Tamandua tetradactyla: one gene and its partners. The protein of the gene in region 1 purifies or fractionates together with the protein of each later gene. This does not show direct contact. Links are inferred from orthologs where the notes say so. Each region holds a gene or a part of one and is shown on either strand. Other genes may lie near its edges.

Region 1 (3,747 bases):
GGAATTCCTCCCTTTCAGGAACTCACGGCTTAGTGGGGAACACACACCCATAAGTAAGTGTGATAAATGGTACAATAAATTTAGAACCAAGGTACAAGGGGAAAGATAGGAAAGCAGTGAAGAATAAACTGAAAAAGAGCTAGAGGCTACAAGGCCAGTTGGAAGGCTGTTGCTTTAGACTAGGGGAAAGTTAAAAACAGCTCGAATTAGGAGTGGCTTCCATAGAAATGGTAGAAAAACAACTAACGTTAACAGGCTCATTGCAATCATTCTAAGAAAACCTTCCTGATTGTGAGTAGGTCGAAGGTGAAACCTGTTCAGCTAAGTCAAGGGTAGTTTTGTTCACACCAATAAAACGGAGAGAGCTACTGTAATCATCAGAAAATGCAAATAGGAGCATATTTATGTTTGGCTTCAGTTACCAGAGCTTTTTAGTGTGACTTATCCAGATATTTGCCTCCATTTTTCCTACTTGACTGGAAAAATGCTAATGCATATATAAAGCTTTCTGTGTTCCAGGAATGTTCTAAGCGACTCACATTAATTGACTCCCCTCTCCTCTTGGGCTTTACCTTAACAGATGAGGAAACAAGGGGAAAGTAAAGTGGTTAGCTTGCCCGCGGTAACGCTGCTAAGTGAAAGTACAAGGATTAAACCCAGGCGTTCTTAACATTACACCAGAATAAATGGGTCGTGCAGACAATGCTAAGGCAGATCACACTTCGTCATAGGGTGGTGAAACACTGAGTCTGAGTGGCGGCCGAAGACCTGGTTTGAGATCTGTTTCTGTTGGAAAATCTAAGGCAAATAGCCGCTTAAGAACAACTTTTGCTGAGCTACAGTTTCTCCACCTATAAATGGTGCAGAGAGAGTGAGATAATGACTGTACAAGAGCATTTCAAACTACGTCTGTGGCCCCACGTTCTAGTATTTGGGGACATGAATACGCTAACTCACACATTGCAACATACCAGGAGTTTACAGCTCCGGAGCCAGGCCCCGCCCACTGCGAGCGGCAGGTGGGGCCGGCCGATCTTCTCTGCGCATGCGGAAGCCGCTGCCCGCGCCCACCTCTCACACAGGCGGAGAGTAGCTGCTGTTTCTGGGACGACGATTCGTAAGGAGGTCCCTTGGGCGAGTCCCCTTTGCGTTCCCTTCTGCGGGCCCTTCTGGTACCTCAGCGGCGTCCAGAGCGTAGCTGGTCCTTGTCTACCCGTCTGCCTTTCTGCAGAGGTGACTGACTTTGGCGTAAGGGTTCGCTGTCGAAAGTGCCGGCCCCCGCGCCGGCGCCGGCAGCAGCCGGGTGGGAAGGCTCAAGATGGCGTGCCTGTTGGAGACCCCAATCCGCATGAGCGTCCTTTCGGTGAGTGACCCGCCGCGGCCGCCCGCCGGCACAGAAGCCGGGCCCGTCCCGCATCATTTCCCCCAGCGCGAAGCGCGTCGCGAGCACCACCCCCTAGGGTGGCCTCCGGCTCAGCTTTGGGCCGGGCAGCGAGTGAGGACGAGCTAATGGGATAGACGGGACCCTGGCCGAGCCAGAGACGTCCCCGACTTCCGGGGCTCCCACCGGTGCCGAGTCCCAGTCCCGCGTCCCGCGGGCGGGGTAGTTGGGCGAACGAGCGGCTCGCCTGGCGGCGCGGCTAGGACTCTGCCGAGCGTTCTCTAAGCCCTCCTCTTATCGATGCTTCTTCTCTCTGGCCGAGCGCTGCCCTGCGAGGCGGCGGGCTAGCCTCCGGCCTGGGAGCGAGCGCCCACTCAGCCCCCTGGGGCTCTGGTCAGACGTGCTGCAGGTTCCTTATCCCCAGCCGCCCACCTCCGAGTTACCAGCCGGGTCTCTGTCCCTTCTGTCGCGTCCCAGCAGAGCCGACCCCGGACTAGAGCAGGAGCGGCTTGCTTTTTAGCAAAGGGGATTTCACATCAGCTCCAACACCGTTTAGAGTATGTGGTTATCTAAGCCCCTTATTGCCGCTTTGCTCAGGAGGTCGGGGGTCTGAGTTTAAAGGGACTGTGTGCTTGTTGTTCCAGGCATTCATTTTTTTTCTTTAAGGGGAGTCAGACAATGAGAAAAGAAAGATCACCCTTTCTCGGTTTTGGAAGAAGAGAACGTATTACCATGCCAGAAAGTCATACCTAGTTTTTTAGAAAAAATATTAAAAAAAAAAAAAAAAAAAAAAGACATCCAGTGTGTTGCTCTTGAGAGATCGAGGACTGGGGTGTAAGTTACCGGGAGTTAACTGCAAAGGATTTTGCAACAAATTCGAGCTGTCGCCCTCTGAGAATGGTCAGTCTACCAGTGATCTGTTTGCTGTTTTTGGAAACAAGCAGGCAAAGACTGGTTGACATCTTTTAGACTTGTGATGGAAACCAGTCTGATACTGAGAGACTAGTTGGGAAGTTGGAATATTTATAGATGACTTTTTTCTGATTCCTAGAGTCTGTGACTCCAGTTGGTCTCTTTTCCCTTCCCTCACTTTTCCCACAAGCATACTTGTCTGAAAGCACCTAGGACATTTGCTTATGATTTAGAATTAGAGCAATGTGGCATATTGCAAACTTGAAAAGATTTAATAATACAGTAATAATTTAATTTGAGGTCCTAGCAACAGTTTTGTTCCCTGATCCATTTTAGCAGTACCTTTTTTTTTTTTTAAAACGGCAACTGGGGAAATTCTGTTCACCTAAATATTGAATAAGATTAGTCCATTAGTCTACCTCTGACTGTGTACCCAGGAAGGTTTTATGGGAGAGCAGACCAATGACTTTTCCTTAATTATGTTCTTAAAAAAGGGATATGTGTTTGGACTGTTCTTAGTTCCCCTTTGTTTCGTTTAGATTTCAGTTATCCTTCAATTTACCTGAATCTTTCTTAACTTTTTGTGCATTAGCTAGCATAATGCATATGATTGAAAATTTTTATTCACTTCTTCAGTAAATGATATTTCCCGTTTAATTTTATTTGAAAACTTCTTAAAGAGTATTCTCTACTTCTAGTTGTGATTCACTGTAGCTCTAGGCTCTTTGGGGCTTATTTTTAAAGGTTATCACAGTCTCAAAGTCTGGTCTATTGGCTCTCCAGTCCTAAAACCTTGGGAAACCAGAGTTTTGGATAAATTATTTAAACTGTGTAAACTTGCATGACTGAGATGTATCCAAAACTGATTTTACTAATTTAAAGTGGAGATTGTACCTTTCAAAGTGCTTCCCAGAACACCACTTTTTGGAAGACAAAGTGCAGATGGAACAGGAAAGGAAATAGTAATCAGAAATTATCTTGAATACTTCATTTCTTTGATAAGCTACTTCTTGTGTACCAGTCATGTACAAAGCCCTGTATTGTGTACTGATTTAGGGGAGTGCAGGGTTGGCATCAGACATACCCTTAAGCTGCTCACTGACTGGAAGACTGTATAGTTTGGGAAACATAATTTGAACAAGAAGGAAATCAAATTGTTTTCAATGATTTTCATCCAAGGCCCTTTACACTTCTCCCTGAGAGATCTTCTCTCTCCTGGCCTTAACTGTGACTGACTCATGCATCAACATTACCAGCCTTGACTTCTCCTACATCTAGTTTTATATCTTCAGTTGTGTGGATGTCATCCAGCAATTTAAACACAATGCATTCCTTCTCCTGAAAGAAGGACTTAGTCATGACTTTCCAATTTCTGTTAATGGTATTATCTTTCACTGATCACTCACTGTTAAACCTTCTAAATCATCTTTGACTTTTCCTTCTCTCATGCCCTT
Region 2 (3,694 bases), on another chromosome or scaffold:
AGAGTTCTCACCTGCTGTGCCAGAGACCCAGGTTCAGTGCCATTAAAAGTAAATTGATAACTTCTTAGTTTAGCTGTATAGAGACACAAAGAAAAATGAATAGGGGGCTGGAGTTTCAGCTTTGAAAGTATGGAGGGCTTGATGGGTTTGTTTTGTTTTTGCTGGTTTGGGTCAAAGTATAACAGAAAAAGCAACTGTGAGCTCCCTCAAGGTCTCATGCTAAAGTTTAGCTATTTTTGAAGGAAGTGGACAGATTACTTTGGTGATAAATATGCAACATTCTGCTGTACCACTAACGTTTAAAAGCTTTTGCTTCATACATTTCTTAAATGTGATAAAAAAATAAACTTTCTAATTCATAATAATATATGACATAGATGATAATTCCTTCAAGGGATATGGGACTTCAAGTGAGTAGGATGTGCATATTTACAAGTGTTTGCCTGGTTATTTCAGTACTTGCTTCTATTTGTATTCAAATATATTTCTGTTTTCTTTTTGGATGGTTAAATGGCCTTGAAATTTTAAAAAAATCACAGTATATGAAAGTAGAAAATAATAAAGGGATTTTCCATAAAAATATAAAAATAAACTGGTAAGTGCTACTGGTTACTTCTTTTTTGTTATAAAAATTTATTATTTTTAATAACAACAATGTGTGTTCATTTCTGAAATAAGGAAAAATACAAATAAGCAGAGAAAAAAATCACTCATTATCCCACCAATAAGAGACTGTACTTTTGTCTTCCGTCCTTCAGACATTTATGAGCATATATGTAATCTATAAATGTACTCTTCTCTTTCAAACTATGGTAGTCATATATTACTTAGTAACTTTTTTCATTTTATATTCCATCAAATGAACAAAGCTCCCCTATTAAAAGTTAGAGATTTGTAGATCAGTTAAAAATACAGTAAACAATGAGCTATAAATAAGAGAGGCATTTAAAATTACTAACACTTCCAAGTTAAAAATAGGAAAAGAGTCGAAGGTACATCAAGAAAATGCAAATCAAAAGGAAGCTATATGGTAATGTTAGTATCACAGCAATAAAAATCAAGGTAAATTACATTAAATAGGGGTAAGGATGATTTCGATTAACCTTCCAACGCATCACTATGAGTTTGTTCCTTACTCTCCTTATCTCGTCTATTTCATCCACTTCTTTAAACTTATCTTCATTGCTTAAATGCCTGTTGTGTATATCTTCTTCAAATTCCTGGAGAGATTGAATCAGTCTTTCTCTAAAAGTTACTTCTGTTTTTGCCTCCTCTTCTAGCTCTTCTTCCTCTGGGTTTTCCCCAGGCTTTGGCTCTTCCTCCAGCTTTGGTTCATTCTCATTATCTGGTTTGCCTTCAAATTTTTGACAGGGTTTCATCGTGTGTGTGTCTCTCTGCCTTCCTTCCTTCCTTTTTTTCCCCCTGCTTATTTCTTTTTAAATACAGTTACTCCTAGAAGGCAAGGAAACAGTAAGAAGGAAAGTGTGAATGGACCAGTGCTCTGGACCAAAGTTTCATTTGCCTTTTTTGATTCAGAGCTGAAAACAAATATCTGAGCAGCTCAGTCAGCAATCAGGGTCTCTCTGCCCCTGCCCACTTATCTTCACTTTCCTTTCCTCCCTTCTCTTGTCTGTTCCCCCGCCTTTTCCAGGGTCCTCCTTCCAACCTCCTAGCTCTCCTCCAATTATTTATCCCCGCAAGGCATTACACAGACCCCTCCCAGAACGTGGTAGCCTGGGGGGATGGGCACTGGGGCCTTCAACCTCTGATTCTACCTCACCCACCCTCACTCTAGGAGTCCTTATAACATTCCCCTTACCTACCTGCACTGCTCCGGTCAGGTTTTTCCTCCTCTTTTCTAGCTTTGTCCCGTGCTACGGACAACAGACCTGCAGAGCAGAAGACAAATGGGAAACGGAAGGGATGGTAGGGGGAGGAGTTGGAGGGGGCCGAGTGCTTGGTGTGCCGACCAGCACTAGTTTCAGGTCACACACATTTCCTCAATATGAGTCTCAATTATGGAAAGTTTCCCACTTTCTGTTTCCCCCAGTTCTCCCTCTCTCCCCAGTGCTAGTTAGCTCACATTTCTCATCAGTCAAGGAGTGAGAAGCTTAGATTACTTACGAACTGTCTTTAAGACTGACATAGAGCTTGGGAGGAGGGGTGAGCATTGGGGGGCGATCTGAGATAACAGAGGATACTTATTTTTAGCTATCACTGGTCTCTGTCTTTCTTCCGGGACCCCTAGTCCCTTTCCAAGGGTCATTTTCTACAGACCTGGAAGTGGGGGTGGACAAACGGATTGACCAAGACTCCCTCAAGTCTCTGCCTAGGCTACCCCCACTCTAGGAATCCCGTCATCCCCCATCTTGACACTTACCTGCACAATTACAGCAAGTTGATTTCTTCTGCTGGCCTCAAGCCCTGCTGCCAGCACTACAAAAGGGAACTGGTACCCAGACCGGAACAAGGATCAGACTCGCAGGACTTCTGCACACGTCGACTCCTGGTCACGTGAGAGCCACGTCACCAGCGAGCTAGGGTCCCCAATTTCCACTCCCACCAAAAGCGCGGCAGAAGTCGGCCCGCCCTCTGCTCCTCTTACCCCGGCGGTTCACATTTGGTCTTGTCAGTCTTTTCTGTTGTTGTCTATCACAGAGTTTTTGGGAAAATGTTATTTGCCTTTCTCTGATTAAGGAGAGGCTACATCTTTTTCTGGAGATACTGAACTTTTCTATTTCTTGTTTAGAGAATTGTCTCTTTTTGTCTTCCGCTCTGAGGATAACCAAAACCCCCACTCACCATCCCTCCCCCAGCCTGCATTCCATTTGCAATCTTCTCTGTAGTTGCTGTGGGGCCTGGGAAAGAGTGTAGAAACAGTTGTAGAAGTGGGACCTGGAACAGGAGTGGAATATTTAATGCATTTTTTACTTATTTCTTAATACTTTTATATTATTATTTTTTAAAAGTCTTCTATCTTTTTATAGTCAGAAAAGACAAGGACAAAATTACAGCGATTAAATGAGTTAATACATGTACAGTCCTTAGAACAGTGCCTGGCATATAGTAACTACTTTAGAAGTGTGAGCTCTTATTATAATTATATTAGTGTTTCATTTGGAGAAAATTAGTATTTCAAAATGGAAAAAGTAATGTGTGACTCTAGAGTTCTGGTTGTGATGTGTGTCAGAAAGCTGTGCTGCCTGCAGAGTCAACTGTCAGCTACACATGTGAGTAAGTTTCCTGATCTGAAAAAAGAGAATAGTATTCAAATCATAATTAACTGTTAGTGAGTCTAAATGATAGCACCAATGCAAAGCACTTGGCTTTCGGAAAACAGATATTGGTTTCCTTCCAACCAATATCTTAGTCTTAAGTCTAAGACTCACATCTTACTCTTAGACACAGGTGACGAATGTACGACAATTCTTCAGACTCAAGAACAGTAACTCACTTATAGTAAGCACTCTATAAATATCTATTAAATTAATGAATGAGTTGAATTAACAGGAAACGATATAATTTTTATAAGCACAAAACACAGGCAGCCACTTCTAAAAATGTTGCATTGCTCTCAGAGGTAACATTTGAGAAATAACAAGAGATATAAGCATGTACTTTTATTTTATATAAGCTTCAGTGCCCTTTCTGTGAGGGGGGAATGAAGAGCTCAGTGAATAATGTGGAAGGAAAA
Region 3 (3,747 bases), on another chromosome or scaffold:
CTTAGATTGGACATTTCTATAGACTTGCTTTAATTGGGACATTTTCACAGCTTTAGAACTGTAAACTTGTAACTTATTAAATTCCTCTTTTTAAAAGCCATTCCATTTTTGGTATATTGCATTACTGCAGCTAGCAAACTAGAACAGCACTCTAATTCCATACAGAACTTTCTAATAATCTCACTACGTTTATGTCAATCTGAGGTTGGCAGGACATGTGCTGCGAGCAGTAAGGACCAGATCCTCCATCTCCACCCAGGCCAGGACCTGCCAGTCCTTCCTGTCCTCCAGGACATTCAGGGGAACAGACAAGTCTCAAGGGATCCACAGATGGAATTTCTGGTCTCTCACAAAAAACCCTTTGCAGATCTTGTCTCTAAAACATAACCCAGCATACAAGAAAGGAGGTTTGGGGGATCACCCTCTGTTGATGGACACAGGACCTGCCCCACCTCAATCCTGGCAGTGGGGCGGGGAAGAGGGGCAGTACTGCTCCTGTTTCGATCCCGACGCATGCCAGCCAAGGCCCCACTTAGCTCCTCTCTGAGAGGGTCTCAGCTTTCTTGCTGGAGTCTGTAACCCAGATGGTCCCTGGAGTTCCTGTTTCCGGGAAGAACTGGTCACAGGACTTTCTGTCCCCAGCAGAAATTCTCCATCCTGGAGCATCAGCCCAGCTTACAGTGAGGGTCGGTGGACGCTGAGGATGAACTGCGGGGTTAAAGCCCCCAGATCACGTGGTGGGCCTGACCTAGCCTCCGCACAGAGAAGGGAGGAGAGCAGGCAAACCAGGAGACACGAGGACAGTTACATGACCTGGCCAGCAAGCAAGCCCCGAGGCTCAGATGGGCAAGGCCTTGTGCTGCCTTTCCAGAGGCACCCCTCCCGCCTCCCAGCGTCTGGCCAAGGCTTGCAGTCCGTCCGCCCCCTCCCTCCACCTTCCCACCGCCAGGGCCCACGCGTCTCTCCCAGTCTCCTCGTTGCTCCTGACTCCACACAGCTGCCTCAGGATCCGTCTCGAAAGGACGTCGGGGCCTCCGCTGGACACAGCGCGGGAGGGGCGGTCTTGGCGAGGGCACCGGCAAGGAGGCAGGGTCGGGCCGGGGGCGGCCTGGTCGGCGGGGTCTCGGCCTGAGGCCGGCGAGGTCTGGGCCTGGGACCGCATGGCCCGGGCCGGGGTCCGGCGGGGTCCGGCCAAAGGTCAGCGGGATCCCGGCCGGGGCCGCCAAGCCTCCGCCGCCGCAGCCAAAGCTTCCCGCGAAACTGACGTCGGTGCCGAGCCGGCCGCGCAGGCGCCGCCCCCCGCCCTGCCCCTCCCCCGCGCTCGCTTTGCCCCTAGGGCGCCGGCGCACTCGCCCGTCTCCTATTGGCCGCTGTGTGTCGGCGCGCGCCGGTCGGCGCGGTGCGCACCTCGTGATTGGTCGGCGGCCGCGGGCGGGGGTGTGTCGGCGGCGCCCCGCCCCCTCGGCTCGCGGCGGTGCGCGCGGCAGCGGCGGCGGCGGTGGCGGCGGCGGCGCGTGGCAGGTCCGGCGGCGGTGGCGACGGCGGCGGCCCGATCCCGGCCCAGCCTCGTCCCGTCGCGTCTGGGGCCCGCCCGAACGCCGGCCCCGACCTCGGACAAGCGCGCCGCGGCCTCGCCCCTGCCCGGGCCCCAGCGCCTCCCGGGGGAGCGGCGCTGCCGGGCGAGCGCAGGCCCGGCCATGACCGACTTCAAGCTGGGCATCGTGCGGCTCGGCCGGGTGGCCGGGAAGGTGAGCAGGGAGAGGGCGCGGTGGGAGCCAGGCCAGGCCGGGGTCGGCGGGCGGCGCGGTGCAGCCTTCTCGCAGGGCGTGCGGCGCGGCGGGCTCCGGCCTCCGACCCAGGGCTCTCGCCTTCGGCCCGCGGACGCACCTGGTTGCTGCTGCTGGTCCAGCCCCGCGGGCCCGCTGCGCGTGCGGGACGCATGGCCTGCCCTCGGAGCAAGCGCCCCGCGCCTCGTCCCGCTTCACCTGGCCCGGTCCAGGTGTGCCTGCTATCTGGGGCCTGTACCTGCGGCCGCACGGGTCGAACGCAGCGCCCTTTCTGAGGCAGTGCCACTTCCACACCTGCTAAAGGGGGTCCGGTGTGGACTGGTGGCCAAGTTCTGCGTCTCTCGGTTAACAGGGGTGCTTAGGGGCTCGTTTTAATGCTGCCAAGGGTTGGCCACATTTGGCAGAGCGTCCACAGGTTTCTCCAAAGCAGGGACAGGAAGCCAGGGTCTCCAGGGCCTCCCTCTGCTGCCATCCGCTCTTGGGCTTTTTCATTCCCTTTACCTGGCCCTAACCTTTACGTGTTTGTCATTGGCACCTGTGAGCCGGGAGGCTTGGCTGTTTCCAGCGGCTGGCCCCTGCAGCTGTACCAGCCACTTGACCTTAGCCTGGGTGGGAACCCGACTCCTTCACCAGTGGCAGAGATTTCTGGTGGGAGAGAGAAGAGGCAGTGTGCAGTCAGATGAAGATGAAGCCCTTTCAGATCCGCTAGCAGTAGTAACTTTCCAAGAGTTAGACCAGTCATGTGACCGTTTTCTTCTTTTTCTGCAAGAGCTCCAGCAGCAGCTGTTGGGGATGTAGTTTTCTAAGCGAAGCTTGAGTTCCCCATTAAATTCTGAGACCCCTTCAAAGGGAAAGATATCAGTGACTGATGCCGTATCTCTCATCACTTGAATCTCTTGTTTGGAACATTTCGAATAGACAGCTAACCAGAATAGTTTATTGAACACCTGTGTACTTACCACCCGTCCTAATTAGTTAAACAGTAACTGAGACATCCTGAATATTCTTCTCAGTCATGCCCCCTCCCTCTGCTCCAGTGAGCCCACCATCTCTGACTAGGTAGAAGCGAGCAGTCAGCCTGATTCAGTGTCACTCTCTTGGGGAATCTCATGTGCATGGAATCAGACTCCTCTGGACAGACGAAACCCTCTCCCACTTGTATTCTAACACATCCACCTGTGTCTTACCCCATGCCAAGGTGAGTCCTTTGTCGACCTGAAGGGGCCTTTAGTTATCTTCTCCTTCACGAGAAACCACAGTTCATCCTGCTCTTGGCCATAATTTGAGTGCCTCATGCTGATCCCTAGTGTAATGATTTGAAACATCTGGTTAATTTCTAGACGAAGTACACACTGATAGATGAACAAGACATCCCGCTGGTGGAGAGCTACTCCTTCGAGGTAAGGACAGTCTGGCCCTTTTCTGGTCTGCTTTCGGTTAGCCCATGGGAGCCTTGGGAGGGCCCGGAGAAATGAGTTTTCTGCCTTGTGCTATGGGAGTGAGAGACCCCAAACCCAGATATATCCTGCCTCCCATGTCCAAAGTCCTGGTCTCTACCTGGAGTTCCAATGACATTGCCCACAGGACCTCCCGCCTGACCCCTGGGATGTGGCCTTTCCTCACCTCTACTCTGGGTGTTAACTTCTCTTCTTTAAAAAACAAAGCAAATTTTGTCATTTTTGTGATAAAACATCTGTGAAATTGACTATTGTCCCTGTTCCTTAGTGAGACTCTGCCGTGTACCTCAGCCTGTCTTCCTGCCTTGGGCTGCCAGTTCTCCTGTATGCCACAAACATCTTCCATTCTCCAATCACCTATCTGCGCCCTTGGTGCTCTCATGCCTCTCCCTGGTGGACTCTACTTGACAAACTTCTCTTCACCAAAGTGTTCCCTTCTCTTCATGTCGCTCTGCCATGTTACATTTCAGCCCTTGACATTTTTTACCATGATTGTTTGATCT

The links.
Region 2: the proteins of ARMC8 (region 1) and TCEAL9 purify together in Homo sapiens (affinity purification with mass spectrometry; 3 studies listed by BioGRID and IntAct, with this or other methods). This does not show direct contact. The link is inferred for Tamandua tetradactyla from reciprocal best matches to the Homo sapiens genes ARMC8 and TCEAL9.
Region 3: the proteins of ARMC8 (region 1) and ZMYND19 purify together in Homo sapiens (affinity purification with mass spectrometry; 4 studies listed by BioGRID and IntAct, with this or other methods). This does not show direct contact. The link is inferred for Tamandua tetradactyla from reciprocal best matches to the Homo sapiens genes ARMC8 and ZMYND19.

The regions. Positions count from the first base shown.
Region 1 is NC_135341.1:82,117,105-82,120,851, forward strand, and holds the start of ARMC8 (armadillo repeat-containing protein 8), read left to right. Parts: upstream 1-1,054; 5' UTR 1,055-1,318; coding exon 1,319-1,363; intron 1,364-3,747. UniProt on the Homo sapiens protein: Component of the CTLH E3 ubiquitin-protein ligase complex that selectively accepts ubiquitin from UBE2H and mediates ubiquitination and subsequent proteasomal degradation of the transcription factor HBP1.
Region 2 is NC_135353.1:70,599,943-70,603,636, forward strand, and holds TCEAL9 (transcription elongation factor A protein-like 9), read right to left. Parts: upstream 2,521-3,694; 5' UTR 2,381-2,520; intron 1,890-2,380; 5' UTR 1,824-1,889; intron 1,453-1,823; 5' UTR 1,380-1,452; coding exon 1,068-1,379; 3' UTR 614-1,067; downstream 1-613. UniProt on the Homo sapiens protein: May be involved in transcriptional regulation.
Region 3 is NC_135328.1:130,325,761-130,329,507, forward strand, and holds the start of ZMYND19 (zinc finger MYND domain-containing protein 19), read left to right. Parts: upstream 1-1,619; 5' UTR 1,620-1,697; coding exon 1,698-1,748; intron 1,749-2,293; exon of another isoform or gene 2,294-3,090; intron 3,091-3,127; coding exon 3,128-3,187; intron 3,188-3,410; exon of another isoform or gene 3,411-3,747. UniProt on the Homo sapiens protein: May be involved as a regulatory molecule in GPR24/MCH-R1 signaling.